Cricetulus griseus: one gene and its partners. The protein of the gene in region 1 binds, or shares a complex with, the protein of each later gene. Links are inferred from orthologs where the notes say so. Each region holds a gene or a part of one and is shown in the gene's direction. Other genes may lie near its edges.

Region 1 (5,329 bases):
TATCTGTTTGAATGTTAAATTTATAAACATACCTCTCTACATTTTAAAGAGCCTTCTTAGACTAAATAGTAAAATTGTAGGAATAGATAAGTTTTGTATTTTTTAAGTGATTTTTGTTTTATTTGTGTGGGTGCTCTGCCTGCATATATGTATATGCACCATGAGCATGCAGTGCACAGCAGAGGCCAGAAGAGTGCACCATATCCTCTGGAAATGGAGCTACCACTCCTGAGTTGTTTACTTTGCTGGAATTCAAACCTTGATCCTCTTGTAGAGCAGCCCCTGCTCTTAACCATTGAACCATCTCTCCAGCTCCCAATACATTTTGTATTTTTACGTAAACTACTAGCATTTAGAAAACCCTCATCAATTATTAGCTAATATTGCATTTTTTATTTTTCATGCTATTAAATACATTGTCACTGGGCTGAAGAATTAACTGCCCTTCAATTAACTGAGATATACATATCTATAAAAGAACTGAAAGTCACTCAGAAAATAACAATATTACTATTTTAATCCCCGGGTTCATCTTACCTGATTGTAAAGTTTTCTTCTGAAAGATTTAATTGTATTTGAATCAAAGGTAAAATGATGAACGGGGCATTAAACTAGTTTCAAGTTGAAAATAAAGCCTGAAAATTATTAATATAAACATAATGATGTGATGCATTACCTCACTGATCTTTATATGTAGGGGCGATTCAAAGATTCCTGGAGAAAAACAAGAAAGTTGGCTATGCATTTCATTTTGTTTTGGTATTTAAGTTTTAAGTTTAGCTTATTTTATTTTCTGGGCTTTTTGTCTGTTTGGTTTTTGTTGTTGTTGTTTTTCGAGACAGGGTTTCTCTGTGGCTTTGGAGGCTGTCCTGGTACTAGCTCTTGTAGATAAAAGGCGTGCTCCACCAACTGCCTGGCTATTTTCTGGTCTTTTAAAGGCCAAGCCACTGAGAGTAATTTGAAAGGCAGAAGAAGAAGAAGAAGAAGAAGAAGAAGAAGAAGAAGAAGAAGAAGAAGAAGAAGAAGAAGAAGAAGAAGAAGAAGAAGAAGAAAGCCGGCAACAAGGGCTGCTTGGCTGCTTGGCTTTAGAAGTCATTCTATTTGCACAGCACAAAGCATCCTCGAACCCCTACCTTTACCATTTCTAATGCTCCCCAAATACAGGTCTGGAGAGTCACTGTCAGTAGGATCAGTATTCTGACCCAGCATCCAAAGATTCCCAGTAGGAAACCCGATATGCCAGAGGGACCTGGGCCATCCGACCCCGGCTGTGCGGCTTAGGGTCTTCCACTAGGGTGACAGCCAGAGCTTTTGGTTCCCATGAGGCCTTTTCATCAGGACAACTCTCCAGCAGATGGTACCAATTCCCCAGGAAAGTAATGTTGGTCGTCACCTAAACTGCTTGATCTCTGTATGTTTAAGAACCCAGGACCACACTTCTGGGTGAACAGGACAAAGTGAATGGAATCATCTCCCTTTCAAACGTGCATGAAGCCCGGTGTTCATGGCTGGCATCTCCTCTTCTAACCTTGATGACCTCATGCTTTTTCACCCTTACACCTCTGCAAAATCCCTGAGTCACGCACTGTTTATGTTGTCTCAGTACCAGCTCCAGCACAGATCCAAAGGAAAGGACGCCAGAGTAGGGAGGAGGAGCTGGGGTGGAGAAGCCAGGCCAGCCACGGGTGCCAGGCAAAGGTCAAAATGCAAGCACAGGACATTTCAGCGTGGGCTACAGATCTCGTGATGCCTGGCACTTTTCCACCACCAGACGCCTGATCCCATTGCTCTGGAAACAGCTGGATTTTCTTCCTGTGTGTTTGTTTTGGGCACCAAGCAAGAAACATGAAGGGGAGTGAAGAAGACATTTGTTAGAGCATTCTTGGGGTTAAAAGACATCTTTAATATCAAATCACAACAATAAAAGACAAGACACAGAGTTTTTATTTTCTAGAGTGATTTAGGAAAGCTTAAGCGTAATGGGCACACACACACAAATAATCGATGTTTCTGTCCACCCCCATCCAGCAGATCCTGCGCGCCGGGGGCGGGGTGGGGCGGGGCCTCGTGATGTCACAACACCGCCCTGGTGTTTTTGTGTTCCCAGCTCTTGGGAAAAGCCACCCGATTTCTTTACCTGGTGGTCCTTTACCTTCGGGCGGGGAGATCCCCAGGTCCCTCTCTTGGACGTCTGGCCACGTAGTGCGGTGACGGGCGTGTGGGGGCTGACGCGGGCGGAGCGATTGTGATAAGGTTGACATTGACCCGGGGGCGGCCAGAAGCGAGACGCAGTCACCAGCGCGCGCAGCAGGCCCCGTCCGGGGAGCCCCCCAACCTGCGGTCCATCATGAAGTTCCAGTATAAAGAGGACCATCCCTTCGAATATCGGAAAAAGGAAGGTGAAAAGATTAGGAAGAAATACCCGGACCGGGTGCCGGTGAGTGGGGGCGGGGAGGGGGAGAGCGAGCAGGGAAATTCGGGAGCCGGTTGCCCCGGAGCGCTGGAGGGTGGCCCTGGAGCAGGGGGGTCCCCGGAATCCCATAATCCTGGCCGGCTCTGACAAACCCATATTGCCAGGACCAGTGCCCACCTCTGGCATCCGGGGTGACTCAGCGGATTCAGCTCCCGCGGAGGTGGGGAATGTGCGCGTGGCGCGGCCTGTGTGTGCGGGAGCCGCTGCTTGGGGGCCCCAGATGGGACGCGCTTGTAGACCACGCAGCGCATCCCCGGAGTGGCAGGTGCGGTGGTGGTGAGCCTTGGGCCCATCCATGTCTGCCTAAAGAATCCGGGTTCCGTCCTCATTTCCTTGAGCGCATTGGGGGAAAAACTTGAGAAGTCAGTAGATTCTGCGCTGCGTTTTCTTAGAATTTAAGAGGCGGCGGCGGAGAACCCCCACCAGGCGGGCCCGCAAACAAGGTCACTCTGCGCCACAGTCAGCTTGCTTCATCATCATCACTGCCTCCCTGGCCATGTGGTGCTAAAGAGGACCTTGCCCTGCACTGCTGATGTGTTGGGCCTTGGACCCCAAGGGCGAGGACTGAGAACCTTTTCCTCCGCGAATTGTACCCCGATTTAAACGGCTAAAACCTATTTGATGCAGTGAGGAGAAAAATAATAAGGGAGTCTTCTTCAGCATCCGGGTGTTTTTCCCTTTGCCCCCCCTCCCCCCGCCCACTTGCCTGATTTTTTTTTTTTTTTCTTCTCTTTTAAAGGCTGCGCAGCAGAATTGGAAGCCGAGGACGACATTACTGTTAGATATGGTAGCTAGAGGAGAAGGGACTTTTAAAGTCGTTCTCTTTATCTGTACAGGCAATGATGTTAGATTAGCATTACTCATAGCTTTAATGGGTAAACGAGCCGGACTTACCTAATAATTTTTCTTGATGCATAAGTACTGTTCGTGGTGGTGGTGGTGGTGAGGGGGGGTTTCCTCGGTCCTCTCAGCTATGGCTAGCAGAAGAAATGTAGGCTCAACTGGGAAAAGTCCTCATCCCCATTTCCTGTTAGGAAGGGGAGAGTTAACTATTCCACTGTATGCACCAGGGTCTTTAGGGAAAGGCTGGAAACACGCTAGTCATTTCTTCTTAGCACGCAGTCCTGCACATATTACTTCCATGGAGGATTGTCTTGGATTTGTCACCCCCCCTTCATATTTTAAAATGACACATGGCCCACAGAGCTGGCAGCACTCTGAATGCCTTGTCTGCCTATTCACTGACTCGACTCACACCATTAAAATCTAGGTGCTACAGACATAAGCCTGCAGTACTGGGGAGTGAAGTCCCCACCCAAAGGTGGGGTCTGACAGTGCTAGCTGCCAGAGAGGGATTTCAGCCTGGCTGCCATGCTTTGGGCTTCCAGAGCCCTTGACCTTTAGGTTGTCCCCTTTCCCAGTTTGTGTAGTCCAGTTCGATTAACCAGAATTAAGTGTTACACCTTACATAGGTGAGTCCTGGAAGTAGGTTAAGTCTTGCTGCCATCTGGAGTTCAGCTGGTAGACCAGTGCCAGCCAGGAAACTTAAGTGAATGTCTACCCGTTACTCAGAACTTTAACAGAAACACAAGCTGCGGTGTCCGTCTTCAGATTCAGTTAAAACCTCTATAGTTTCTCAAATGAGCCTCTCTCATTCGCTTGGTTACAGCACTCACCCAGGATATTTTAGTTTCTCCTTATTCTTCTCCTGCTTATGACTTGATGTTGAATGTTTTATTTCAGTGATAATTTATAAGCTAAGAAAGATCACTGGGATCTCATGGATCCTCAACTTGAGAGATTCTCCACTTATGGCTCTTACCCTGTTTGTGACAGAAGAGCTCTGCTAAATGGCAGAGATTTGGGTTGGGGGCAGCATTGGGCATGGAGCCCTTTGCCCAGTGGTCCCTCTATCACTGGGTATACCCTTATCCTCAGCGATGTGGTTTTGTTTCAGCCTTGTAACCTGAGTTCCTGTACCTTGGGCACAGAACTGAATCTTACTATGTCCAGGTGTTTACAGGAAAGCCACTAAGTGTCTAAGGCAGTCTGACTCACAACTTAAGCTTAGCCTCAGAAGAGGTATGTGTGGGCCTTGGGAGAGGGGATCATGGGATCTTGAAATAACAGTGTGTTGGAAACCTGTAATAGCAGGAACTGCTGGACACACTATTTTTAAACATTTGTAAACAGCCCTATGGCGTATGAGCCACCTGCCACAGATGGAGAAAACAGTTTTCTCTATTCTTGGAGGAAGCTGCCAGGTCTCAGAGTCCCTGTGGTAAATACCAGGGCTCCCCCTGTTTCCTGTGCTCTGCCGTGTATAGCCTGCCTTTTCTCCTTACTTTTTTTTTTTTTTTGTCCATTACTAATCTCCTTTTCGAACTCTTTTCTACTTAATTTGAATGTTTGGATTCACCTCTGTCTACCCAGGCATTTACATGTATTTATTCATATGGTCTTTTGGGGGTGCTGCTTGTTCAGAAGCCCAGAGAGGTCACAGACATCCTGAAGGTCACACAGCTTCTAGGGAGACTTGTCCAGTGTCTGTTTCTGCTTCTTCACTTTTTGGTAGTTCCCATTTCTCATATCTAAGATGCGCTCTTCAAAACAAAGAATCTAATGTTAATATTCTTGCAATGTATTTTCTATTTTCTAAGTAAATATATAAACATCTACCTAAGAGTCCAGGCGGTGGTGGCACACGCTTTTAATCCCAGCACCTGGGAGGCAAAGACAATCAACTCTCAGTGAGTTCAAGACCAGCCTGGTCTACAGAGTGAGTTCCAGGACAGCCAGGACTGTTACACAGAGAAACCCTGTCTCAAAAAACAAACAAAAAATCCCAAGATTTTA
Region 2 (5,513 bases), on another chromosome or scaffold:
CCGGCTATCCCCTGGATGACCTTGAGCAGATCTGGACTCTGAAGGCGTTGCATGAGATAATCCTGATGAAGCACCAGCCAGGGGCCAGCATCAATTAGACACTCAATAAAAAGCAGCAATAAAAGGGTATATTACATGATAGACTTGGCATTCCATGGAACACAAAGAATGAAGTGCTCTGACCTCCTCCCCCCCCCCCCCAAGGGATTTGAGAGCCAAAGGAAGAGGAGATGAATTCCAAAAAAATAAGTGTAGCCTAAGAGAAAACCTCAGACTTTGCACTAAGAAAGTTCATATGTTCAGAATTCAAATAAAAGAATCCCATATATCAGTGTGAGGAAGGGAGGATGCGCTGAAGTGGAATTCTGAGCCGAGGAAAGCAATGCCAAGTTTTAGGGGAGTTGTTGAGCAGGGTTGAGAATAGTTGCAGAGTGCATCAGAGCTCGAGGCGGAGGTACACAGATGAGGTCCCAGGGTGCCCACACTGAGACTGACAATTCAGAGGCCAGTGGAAGCATATTGTTTACTCTCTCCTACTCTTAAGAACCTAGCTCCAGGTGGCGAGAATTGGTAAGTAGGGAGAGGTTTTTTTTCCCACACCAAGCAATTTTCCAACTCATGGACATCAACTTGATGTGGCTGACACACTCAGTTACACTCCATCGGAGAAAACTGATTTTCCCTTTCCAACAGGCATCAGTTGCAAATAGCCTCTTGATTAGGGTGGAACTTTGTGCTCACTTCTTCCTCTTAGTGCCCCGATTTTGTCTGGTTTGAGCTTGTGCAGGTGTTGTTCATGCTGTCACAATCTCTGTGAGTGCATCAGTGTCTTAAATCATGTTGTGTCTGCCAGACACTGTTTCCTTGGAATCATCTATCACCCCTGGCTCTTGGAATAGTTCTGCCTCCTCTTCCAGGTAGTTCCTTGAGCCTTGAGGAGAGGGGTTTAATAACGCCATCCCATTTAGGGTTGAGTGCTCCCAAATCTCTCACACTCCACACGTGGTCCAGCTGTGGGTCTCTGTGTTAGTCTCCATCGACCACAAGAAGCTTCTCTGACGAGGGCTGTGATGCTCTCAACTATGTGTATAGCAGTATTTCATTTTAATATCCAATAATTTAATTATAAAACAGGAGTCGTTTTATTGCTATGTTATCTGCCTATCTACCTTCTACCTTAGGAGTTGCAGCCTGTGCCAAGAGAGGAGCAACCCACCAGGAAGTGCCTATTAAGAGCTGCTGTATGATCCCAGCAAGGAGAACTGGTGTGATTGATCCTCCCAGAGGGAGCCATGTTAGCAATAGCTCCAAGGCACACACACTCCAGCTGCGGCCTTAGCAGGGGGCTGTGGGAGGATGCGGTTAAGGGAAAGCCTCCAGAAATAAAAAGCCCTGGTGCATAAACCTGAAGTAGGTGTGTGTGCCTATCGACAGAGCAGTGTGGTCCTTCACAGGACTTCTATTGTGTGAGGATCAGTTTAAGTTCATACACAAAACACTTTGAATATATGATTGATGCTTGATAAAGGGTCGCTGCCTTATTAATATTTACTTGTAGGGGCTCCGTCCATGTACAATATCCAGTTAAGGTGGGTGGATTGCGTTGTGTAGCAACACACGCGGCAAAAAGAGGTGGAAGGATAGGGCCATGTCGATGCTGGTCTATAACCCTGCACTTGGGATGCGGAATCAGTGGTTTGAGGCCAGCCTTAGATATATAGAGGCTAGCCTGGACCCTTCTTTTTAAAAAGGAGGGAGTAAGAGGTTCGAGGAGGAAAGGGATTGGTTGAGGTGGGCCTTTAAGTAGATTATTACATAGAGGTTTGGGAAAGCTAGACGTAGCTGGGGACAGGAGTAGAGCTTCCTCTATGCTTCCCTGCCCTCCCTCTCTCACGCCCCCCTCCCCGCCCTTCCTCCCACCTTCTCTCCCTCCCTCCCCTGCTAGCTCCACCCCTGCGTGTACTAAGAGTCCAGCAAGAGTACTGGTCTGTAAGCCCCCTATCTCTTCTGAGCTCCTGGAGTCCCTTGCCCTGGCTCGGTACTGTGCGTAAGCGGTGCGGGATTCAGTAGAGCGGGACCCCGGCGAGGGGAGGGGCGGAGCATGGGAACTCAGTGAGCTCTGGGCTGCGGGGCGGGGCGGGGCGGGGCCGGGGAAGTTCGTGGCCACTGAGGGCTGGGCTGGCCACGGTGAAACCGTAAAAGGCTGAGGCGGGCGGGGTGGGTGTGGCCGTGCGGGTGAGCGGAGCCCTGGTCCGGGGCCCCCGCAGTCTCCCGCAGCCTCCCAGCCATGGGCGCCGTCTGGTCCGCTCTCCTGGTCGGCGGGTGTCTGGCGGCAGCGCTTATCCTGTGGCTGCTGCGGGGCGACCCTGGGGTCCCGGGGCAAGACGGGGGTGCGGAGCCGCAGAAAGACGCACCTCCAGGGGAGGCTGCGACTCCGGGAGGCGGTCCGGGTGGCTGTGGCGGCCTGAGCCCTGAACGTTCCGAGCGGGTGCTGGTCTCCAAATCAGGTATTCTTCCTCCCCGGGGCTCGGGGCAGACGTGACCGGTGTTTCGGAGTTCCCTGGGGAAGGGGGGATGAAAGCCACCTGAAGTTCTCCAGGTGGATCGTGGTGGACCAACTTCCTCCACCTGGGACGGAACCCTCCTCGGGCCCCCTCCCAGGCTGTACTGTCCTGGAGAAGCCACGCGGGTCCTCTAGAGGCCGCGCCCTGCTCCTGCTGCTCCGGGCCGGCACCGGCTCCTCCGCCCGGCGCACTTGGCGGCGCTTGGCGCAGCGCGCGAGGCTGGTTTGGGGGGCATCTCACAACTCTATAGTCTCGATGAAGCTGGGAGGGGCATCCTCTGAATCTTCGCCCCCCTAGCTTCAAGCCCTGACACCCCACACCCCTTCTTAGATCTGAGTTTGGGGCTGGCGAGCGTTGAGCACTCGCTTGCTACTGTCTGGACAATTCTTTCAGAAAAGTAAAATTCAGCTGAGACATGGGTCATGAAGCTGGGAACCCACTGAAGCTGGGAACCAAACGCTGATAAGAATTGTCATGTAAGTTTAGAGCTACGTTCTAGAGACCCCGCACCAGGCAACCAGTGTGCACTGGCACGAAGCCTTACCTTCCTGTGCCCTTTAGCAGGTTGCCGTTGCCTGGCAGAACTTATTTTTAGTGGTGGTCATTTGTAGTTACGTGAGAATCTTTCCCACGGCTGAATTTTGATAAACAGTTCATCTGTTTCCTTGTCTCTGAAGGCCAGCCTCATGTTTTATTTGGGGAATTGAGATTTGTTGCCATCGGACTCCGAAATTCACCATTAAAAAGAGGCAAAATGAAGCAAGAGTGCCCCCAGCTCCTGCACCAAGTGTAGAAATTCAGGTTTTGAGAGCTATTTAGGTAGCCAGGAAAGAAACCAAGTCTTTGGGCGACTTTGTGGACTTTTAAGAACAATCTTTAAAGTGTGTATGGTATGTGTGTGTGTGGGGGGGACCTCATGTGTCTTTGAAGAGATTTCTCTCCCCTCAAGTTCCCCCACCCCCACCCCAACTCTACTCACACTGACCACTCTGCCTTCCAGAGCTGACCCCTGTCCTGCACTCACTTCCAGGGAGTACAGGGCCGGGTAACATGCAGTCCTTTGTCCCACAGAAGCCACAGTGTTTGTGTCTGGGCCTGCTAAGCTCCTGTCCCAACCCACCCCCCAGCATTTTTTTTTTTTTTTTTTTAATGACAGGAGCCAAGTGACTTAACTTTGGATCCCTGCCAACTTGGTCTGGCCTGTGGGAGACTTTGCAACTTGCAACTTCATTGTCTCTCACACTGAGTGTGTTTTGGTTGTTGGCTCTACACGCAAAGAGCCGGGTTGGGAAGGTGCAAATAGACACTTGATTTCTACAGGAGCTTGGCCTACAGGTAGAATCGGATGTTTTTCTCAGTCTCCCTTTGTGAAACCAGCTAATGTTGCTAAACTTTCCTTTCTCAGAACAGCTTCAAGAAAGCAATGGACATTTGATTTCTGAGCCTAAAGATCTTGGTAACCTGCAGGGAGCACAGAGACTTCAGAATGCTGGAGCAGACTGGAGCAATGCCAGAGATTGTGTTCCTGTTGGAAAGAGTCTGGACACGCACTCCAGGGCCAATCCAGAAGTGTCAAGGAATCAAAGCCCACAAGTTCATATAGGAGAATGGAGTCCCTGCAAAGGACAAGAAACAGCTGGGAGCATGGCAGAGAAGCTGTCCTCCAGCAGCCTACTCAGGGACAGAGCTAAAGCAGCCAGCCTTGCACAATCGGTCAGTCAGGACCTGGCAGGCCACGAGGACTGGGAAGTGGTGTCTAGGCACTCATCTTGGGGGGATGTTGGTTTGGGTGGCAGTCTTGAGGGCCTGAGTCAGGGAATGAATGATGGCAGAAGTACTCTTGTGGGAGGAAGAGGCTGGGAAGCAGATGGGAAGGCGACATCCCCTCAGCAGGTCAACATCCAGTTCAAGGTACACTACACCACAAGCACCGATGTGCAGTTCATTGCAGTAACGGGAGACCATGAGAATCTTGGGGGATGGACCAGATACATCCCACTCCACTATTGTAAGGATGGGCTGTGGTCTCATTCTGTCTTCCTGCCTGCGGACACGGTGGTGGAATGGAAGTTTGTGTTGGTTGAGAACAGGGAAGTTACTCGCTGGGAAGAATGCAGCAACAGACTCCTGCAGACTGGCCATGAGGATAAGGTGGTTCATGGGTGGTGGGGGATTCACTGACTCACAGTGCAAAGCATCCTAGCGAGAGGCTGAGTCAGAATGTGGAAGAGGCTAAGGCTGTAGAGCACACTGCATAATTTAAAGGCAGTGTGAACCCATTTGTAGCCATCAGAGTTCTTTCAGAGTTGTTAGTGTGGCTTTTGTCCAAAATGTAGGAAGATTTATGCATGCCCATGATGCTTCCTCTGAGCTGGGACTTTTCCCTTATTGCACTGACTGGTTTGTGCTGACACATCATCACTTGAGGGGTTGATGGTCCCTTGAGGGGTAGTTGGCTTGGCTAAGACTGAGGTATGGACTATGGGCAAGGAGAAACTAACCAACTGCACAAGTACAAGGTAGAGCCTGTAGCTCTTAGAATAGGGAGATGGCAGTTAAGTCTCATTAAATACAGCTAAAGCAACATGTTTACATTTTAAAATGACACCATATTGGAACTGTGACCAGTCAGGACTGGAGTGACACTCAGAGACTCCCCATTAGTTTTTGTTCCATTATTAGTGCTGAGGATAGGTGTGGAGTTAGCAGGGGTGTCTTTGTTTTAATGCCCTAATCAGCATTGGTCATCCAAGAAGTGGAGGGAGTGGGATGGGTGAGAGATGGTGAGGAGGCTTGAAAGGTATACTGTACACCTTTGAGAACTGGGAGTACAGTGCTTACGGGTCCTTGCCTGGCTCCAGCAAGGGTATATGTACCCTTTACCCACAGCGTCCTGCCAGACTGTCTCTGTCCACTTCCCCCACCCCATTCCTACCAACAGATGGGCTG
Region 3 (5,279 bases), on another chromosome or scaffold:
TAGGGGTACGCACAGGCTTACGCACAGGCTCATGATTGGTGTGCTTCCAGGCTTGGAGGGCTTGCCCTGTGTTGATTGGTCAACTGGTTGTTATGGCTCATAGGCCCTCCCAGGGTGGTTGCTATGCTCTCTACGTCATTGTCGTGCGCTTGTCCGTAAAGCACACCCAGGGTCGTAAAGTGCCACCAGGTAACTTCTGATTGGCTCCTTGTCACAAGGCATCTGACCTTTTAGTGACTAAGGTTCCTTGTCACGAGACAGGCATCTGACCTCTAATTGACCAAGGCAGGTTTATGGCAAGCACGTGTTCGGCTGTTATGGCTGCCAAAAGGGAAGCCGGTTCCTTCAGCTGATGGAAGCAGAGACAGACATCCACAGATATACACTGAGCTGAAATCGGGAATTTAGTTGAAGAGAGGGAGGAATGAAGAAGGAAGGGGTCTGTACCAGGTTGGAGAAACCCACAGGAACAATTGGCCTGAACAAGGGAGAGCACATCGACCCCAGATGCTGTCGGGGAGGCCAGTACAAGACTGATCCAGACCCCTGAACATGGATGTCAATAAGGAGGCCTCTGCACTCCAGGGAGCCTCTGGTGGTGGATTAGTATTTTTCCCTGGTGCAAGAAGGGACTTTGAGAGCCCATCCCACGTGAAGGGTTACACTCTGGCCCTGGACACATGGGGAAGGGCCCAGGACCAGCACAGGAAGATTTGGTGGACTTTGCAGAGCCCCTGTTGAGGGCCCTACCCTGCCTGGGGAGTGGTGGGTGGATGGGGTGGGGGTAGGCTGGGGGTGGGGGAGGAGGGATGGGGTGAGGGGAGGGAGAGGGAGAAGGGACTTACATGTGAAACAAGCTTGTTCCCTAACTAGAACTAATAAATAAATAAATAAATTAAAAAAAAACAAAACTAAAACCAAAACAAACAAATGGAAAGAAACGCACTTTTTTTTTAAGTCACCAAATGCAAACACTAACACACTAACACTGCTGACGCTTCTCCACCCTCCCCCTTCTGGCACTTAGCCTCAAGGCAGTCTTTGAACAAGTACCCCTGCCGACAGCATTCATTACTACTATTGGCATTCCTTTGCGTGAAATATACATGGATTTCCCTGCCACACTTCCGCCCTCCTTTCCTCTCATCCTTCAGCCACCATGCTTACACTGCCTTCTCGGCACGACCACAGCCAGGACGCCCCTTCTTTCCTCCCTAGCCTTCTTCCGCACAGCTGCACCCCCCAGGAGTCCTTTCAGTTTGGTCCCGCCCCGGGCATTCTCCTACCTGGTAAACACCTGTCTCCGCCTGCAGTTTCCCGCCCTTCACTCGACTACCGCTAGGTTCCTCAGAGCTGTCTCACCTTCACCCCGAGCAAAACGTCCGTGCTCCCCAGCCCCTTGGCCCAAATCCCGGGAAAGCCGCTCGGAAAGCACTAGGTCCCGCCGCGGCACCGGCGCCCGCCGCGCAGCCGCAATGACAATTTATCTGTAATTCCCGCGCTCCCGGTCGCCTAGGAAACCGGCCGCTTGGCGGCTAGCGCCGGCCTCTAGGAACACAAGATCCAGACACGTCAGCGGAAGGGAGAGGAAAAAAAAGAGGTGGACACTCTTTCCGGGCTCAGGATTGGCCACCTGGTCTCTCCTTGTGTGTCGTAACTAGAAAGAGACGGAAGAGAAAGAATTTTGAGTTTCCTATTAGGCAGCCGCCCCCTCGCATCTACGCTTGCTTATTACGTCACAGTAATTGTGTACAAAGGGTCGGGATCGCTACCCAAGGCCGGAAGATGAGCGCAAGGTAGTGAACAAAGCAGTTGCAGAGTCCTCATCCCTCCCTTAGTCTTCCTGCCATGGAAGTCTCCAGTTTAGGTAAAGAAAGGATTATGTAAAAAGAACTACCAATTCCAGCATGCATTGCGGGACGAAAGGACTTCTCCACCGCGTCCCTTGGAAACTGTAGTCTTAAGGGAGAGGCGCTTCCAACACCGGAAGCTGGCGCGATTACCACAACAACCTAGTTAGTACGGCGGAAACCTCCTCGCGGTTATGCAGGTCAGCTGCAGTACATCGCAGCGTTCTGTTTTCATGTCTTGCTCACAGAGACTAGACTGAAAGAAGCTGCAAGTCCCAGGAATACTACAATTCCCATCCAGCCCCGCGATTCTCGGGTAACTAGTTCTCCAAGGTCAGTGACCTCAGGGAAAGCAGAGGGCGGCCAATGGGCTCGGGAACGGGAAATCCGCTCCGCTGACATCTACGCACTAGTTCCGCCCCTCGGCCTGGGTGTTTGTTATTGTTGTGCGGTTCAGACAGCTTCTGTCCCGCCCCTGCCGACGCAGCATTGGCCAATCGGTGCAGCGGTGGTTTTGAGGGACAAATAGTTAGAACCAATCGTTTTGTCGGAAACTCAGAGAAACATGGGACTGGGCCCGGTCTCTGTCCGCCATGTTAGATTCACCCCGCAGGGATAGCAGCCGAGCTGGCAGCGAACGGTCCTTGCACTGGCCACGGGCAAGCGCCCCCCGGGGGCGGAAAGCTGGTAAGGAGGCCGCCGCTGTTACCTACGAGTGGGGTCACGTCGTTCTTAGAGGTCTCGGGGAAGTTCAAGGAGAATCTTGAAAAGAGCAGTGACTTTTTTCCGTGTTCAGGGCAGCCAGTCCTTTCAGGGACCAGATGAGAGAGCCGCTTGGGTTGTCAGCGACAGTGGGGTGTGGATTCTGCTTGAGGGAGAGTCTTCATGGCTTAGAAAGGCCAGTTTCTGCTAAGAGAAAGTCGAAATCCCCCAGTACCAAAAGAGGGGCCTCCGGTGGTGGTGACACTCACTGTCCCGGGGACATGGAGTTCCAGGAAACGATTGCTGGAAGACTAGGACTAAGTGTGTGAGAAGAAGGGACACACATCTTCCTCATTCTGAGCTTTCCTCTTTTTGAGACTCTATTGAAGGTATCTTGATCTAGAACCTTCCGTGTTTAGAGAGGCATCGTTTTCCCTTTTTGTCAAGCACCCAGCTTTCAGATCACCCATTTTAAAGCTTAGGCGGCTTTAAACCTCTGGTAGACACAATAGAGTTCAGATTCCGAGATTCCCTATATTAATATTATTTGTCGACGTTGGAAAAACATCCTATGGGGAAAAGCTGACTTTGTCACATGAGTGTGAGTCAATGAGGCATGCGTTTACAGTGCCACTTAGGAAAGCTGCAGGCTTAGGCCCGGCCACCTGACCGCTGGCTGCAAAACAATAGGTAATATGTGGGGTTAACTGTACCTTTGATATTTTCACAAGTTCAACATTAATGTTCTGCCTGAAAGAATTTTCACACGTAAGTCACAGTGAGGTCCGGCCTTTATGAAGACCTGAATATTGGCTAGATAAACTAGACTCTCGCTTCCTGTTTTCTCACATTGACAGAGCAGCTGGATGAACTCCAAAGTATGGAAACTAATTCCCACTCCTGTCATTTGAGAACAGGGAAGATTAGTTTCCTTCCAGACAGAACTGTGTGGAAGTGTATTTCTTGAAGTTGGAAAGTGCGAGTGTATTTGGGAATTTTTTCTTTTTTAATTATCTTTATTTTGTGTGCATTGGTGTTTGGAACTGGAGTCACAGTTATGAGAAGCCATGTGGATGCTAGGAATTGAACCCGGGTCCTCTGGAAGAGCAGTCAGCGTTCTTAACCACTGAGTCATCTCTCCAGCCCAACCTCAGAATTTTTTCTTTTGGCAAACTCAGTCACTTCATTTTCCTTATTAAAAACAAACAAAAACAAACAAACAAACAAACAAACAAAAACCTAGGGTTGGTGGGATTCTGCCTAAATTTTAAAGATCCTAAGGAAGAATTGCATTTTGGGTAAATGTATGAATGCAGGATGTCCACAGGATTGATGCTAGAGACTATAGCTTTGACAGTGAACTTAACTCTAGATGAAGACAAGTCATGGAAAAAATTGGATAATTGAGTCTCTAAAATAATCTGTGATTAAGAATACTAGGTTCTTGGGTGGCAGTGACACATGCCTTTAATCCCAGCACTTGGGAGTCAGAGGCAGGCAGATCTGTGAGTTTGAGGCCAGCCTGGTGTACAAGAGCTAGTTCCAAGACAGTCTCCAAAGCCACAGAGAAACCCTGTCTTGAAAAACCAAAAAAAAAAAAAAAAAAAAAAGTACAAGGTTCTTAAAATGACAGTTGTACAGTTGTATCCACAGTGCTGAACTCTGGAGGCAGATGCGGACAATTCTCTGGTCTACATACATAGCAATCCCCAGGCCAGCATGGGCTACAGAGTGAAACCCTGTCTCTCTCCACCCAAAACAAAGTTATAATAGCAAGGTAGAAGCTATCTTAAGGACCTAAGGAATTGTTTCTTATGGTAATAATTTTCATATTTGAATACTATTTGAAAGAATCCTACATACTTTGTGGTACTGGAAATGGCCCCTTATCTTTGCACATATGTGGACTGGTTCCTTACTCCCTGTCCCTAGACCAAGGTTTTATTAGATCCCTTTGATAACATTGTTACTGTCAGCAGAATAGTCTTTGTTTTACATATTAAATGAGTGAAGCTCAAAGATAAACAGTCTTGCTCACAGTTGCACAGCCAATCTTGTGGTGGAGCTGTATCTGGGACCCAAGTGTTTGCACCCTATTGGCTCCCTTCTTTGACATTGGAAACATCTAGGACTCAAGTTCATTTCTTGTTTGTTGACCCGAATATGGCTCTTTCTACATGCAGATTGAAAATGAGATGAATATTTTAAGAGGTGACATTTTTTTGCCAGTGTCTATTGCTTGTAGCTTTAAACAACTTACACTATTTTTTTCCTAAAGTCACAGTTAACCAGTAAGCAAAGTCTTTCCTTAAATCAAATAGGTTGTTTTTTTTGGGGTGGGGGTGTTTCAAGACAGGGTTTCTCTGTGTAACAGCCTTGGCTGTCCTGGAACTGGCATTGTACACCAGGCTGGCTTCGAACTCACAGAGATCATGCCTGCCTCTGCCTCCCAAGCACTGGTATTACAGATGTGTGCCACCACTGCCCGGCTAAAATCAAATGGATTTTAACAATAGGCATTTGATTAAAAAATTGCCAGCATCTTAGGCATGATCATGATGGGTTTTTTCATTTTTCTCATTTTATAAGTATTTATGGAAGAAAGGGTGAATATTTTGTCAAGAGAGACATAGAGCAAGGTTGTTGCATGGTGGTAGAGTACCTTCCTAGCTTCCAAGCCCCTTTGTCATCTGCTCAACACACACACACACACACACACACACTCTC

The links.
Region 2: the proteins of Gabarapl1 (region 1) and starch-binding domain-containing protein 1-like are in contact, whole or in part, in a crystal structure (PDB 8X8A), measured with the Homo sapiens proteins. The link is inferred for Cricetulus griseus from reciprocal best matches to the Homo sapiens genes GABARAPL1 and STBD1. Residues at the interface, in NP_113600.1 of Homo sapiens: Glu17, Ile21, Tyr25, Asp27, Arg28, Pro30, Val31, Ile32, Lys46, Lys48, Tyr49, Leu50, Val51, Pro52, Asp54, Leu55, Gly58, Gln59, Phe62, Leu63, Arg67, Phe104; in NP_003934.1 of Homo sapiens: Glu201, Glu202, Trp203, Glu204, Met205, Val206, Pro207, Arg208, His209, Ser210, Gly213.
Region 3: the proteins of Gabarapl1 (region 1) and Nbr1 are in contact, whole or in part, in an NMR structure (PDB 2L8J), measured with the Homo sapiens proteins. The link is inferred for Cricetulus griseus from reciprocal best matches to the Homo sapiens genes GABARAPL1 and NBR1. Residues at the interface, in NP_113600.1 of Homo sapiens: Glu12, Tyr13, Lys16, Glu17, Lys20, Ile21, Lys24, Tyr25, Arg28, Pro30, Lys48, Tyr49, Leu50, Val51, Pro52, Phe104; in NP_005890.2 of Homo sapiens: Ser729, Glu730, Asp731, Tyr732, Ile733, Ile734, Ile735, Leu736.

Annotation. Positions count from the first base shown.
Region 1 is NC_048601.1:16,532,979-16,538,307, reverse strand, and holds the start of Gabarapl1 (gamma-aminobutyric acid receptor-associated protein-like 1), read left to right. Parts: upstream 1-2,078; 5' UTR 2,079-2,347; coding exon 2,348-2,437; intron 2,438-5,329. UniProt on the Homo sapiens protein: Ubiquitin-like modifier that increases cell-surface expression of kappa-type opioid receptor through facilitating anterograde intracellular trafficking of the receptor. Involved in formation of autophagosomal vacuoles.
Region 2 is NW_023276807.1:157,352,053-157,357,565, forward strand, and holds the start of starch-binding domain-containing protein 1-like, read left to right. Parts: upstream 1-2,223; 5' UTR 2,224-2,287; coding exon 2,288-2,507; intron 2,508-3,969; coding exon 3,970-4,745; 3' UTR 4,746-5,513. UniProt on the Homo sapiens protein: Acts as a cargo receptor for glycogen. Delivers its cargo to an autophagic pathway called glycophagy, resulting in the transport of glycogen to lysosomes.
Region 3 is NC_048600.1:114,591,969-114,597,247, forward strand, and holds the start of Nbr1 (next to BRCA1 gene 1 protein), read left to right. Parts: upstream 1-1,779; 5' UTR 1,780-2,183; intron 2,184-2,385; exon of another isoform or gene 2,386-2,537; intron 2,538-5,279. UniProt on the Homo sapiens protein: Ubiquitin-binding autophagy adapter that participates in different processes including host defense or intracellular homeostasis.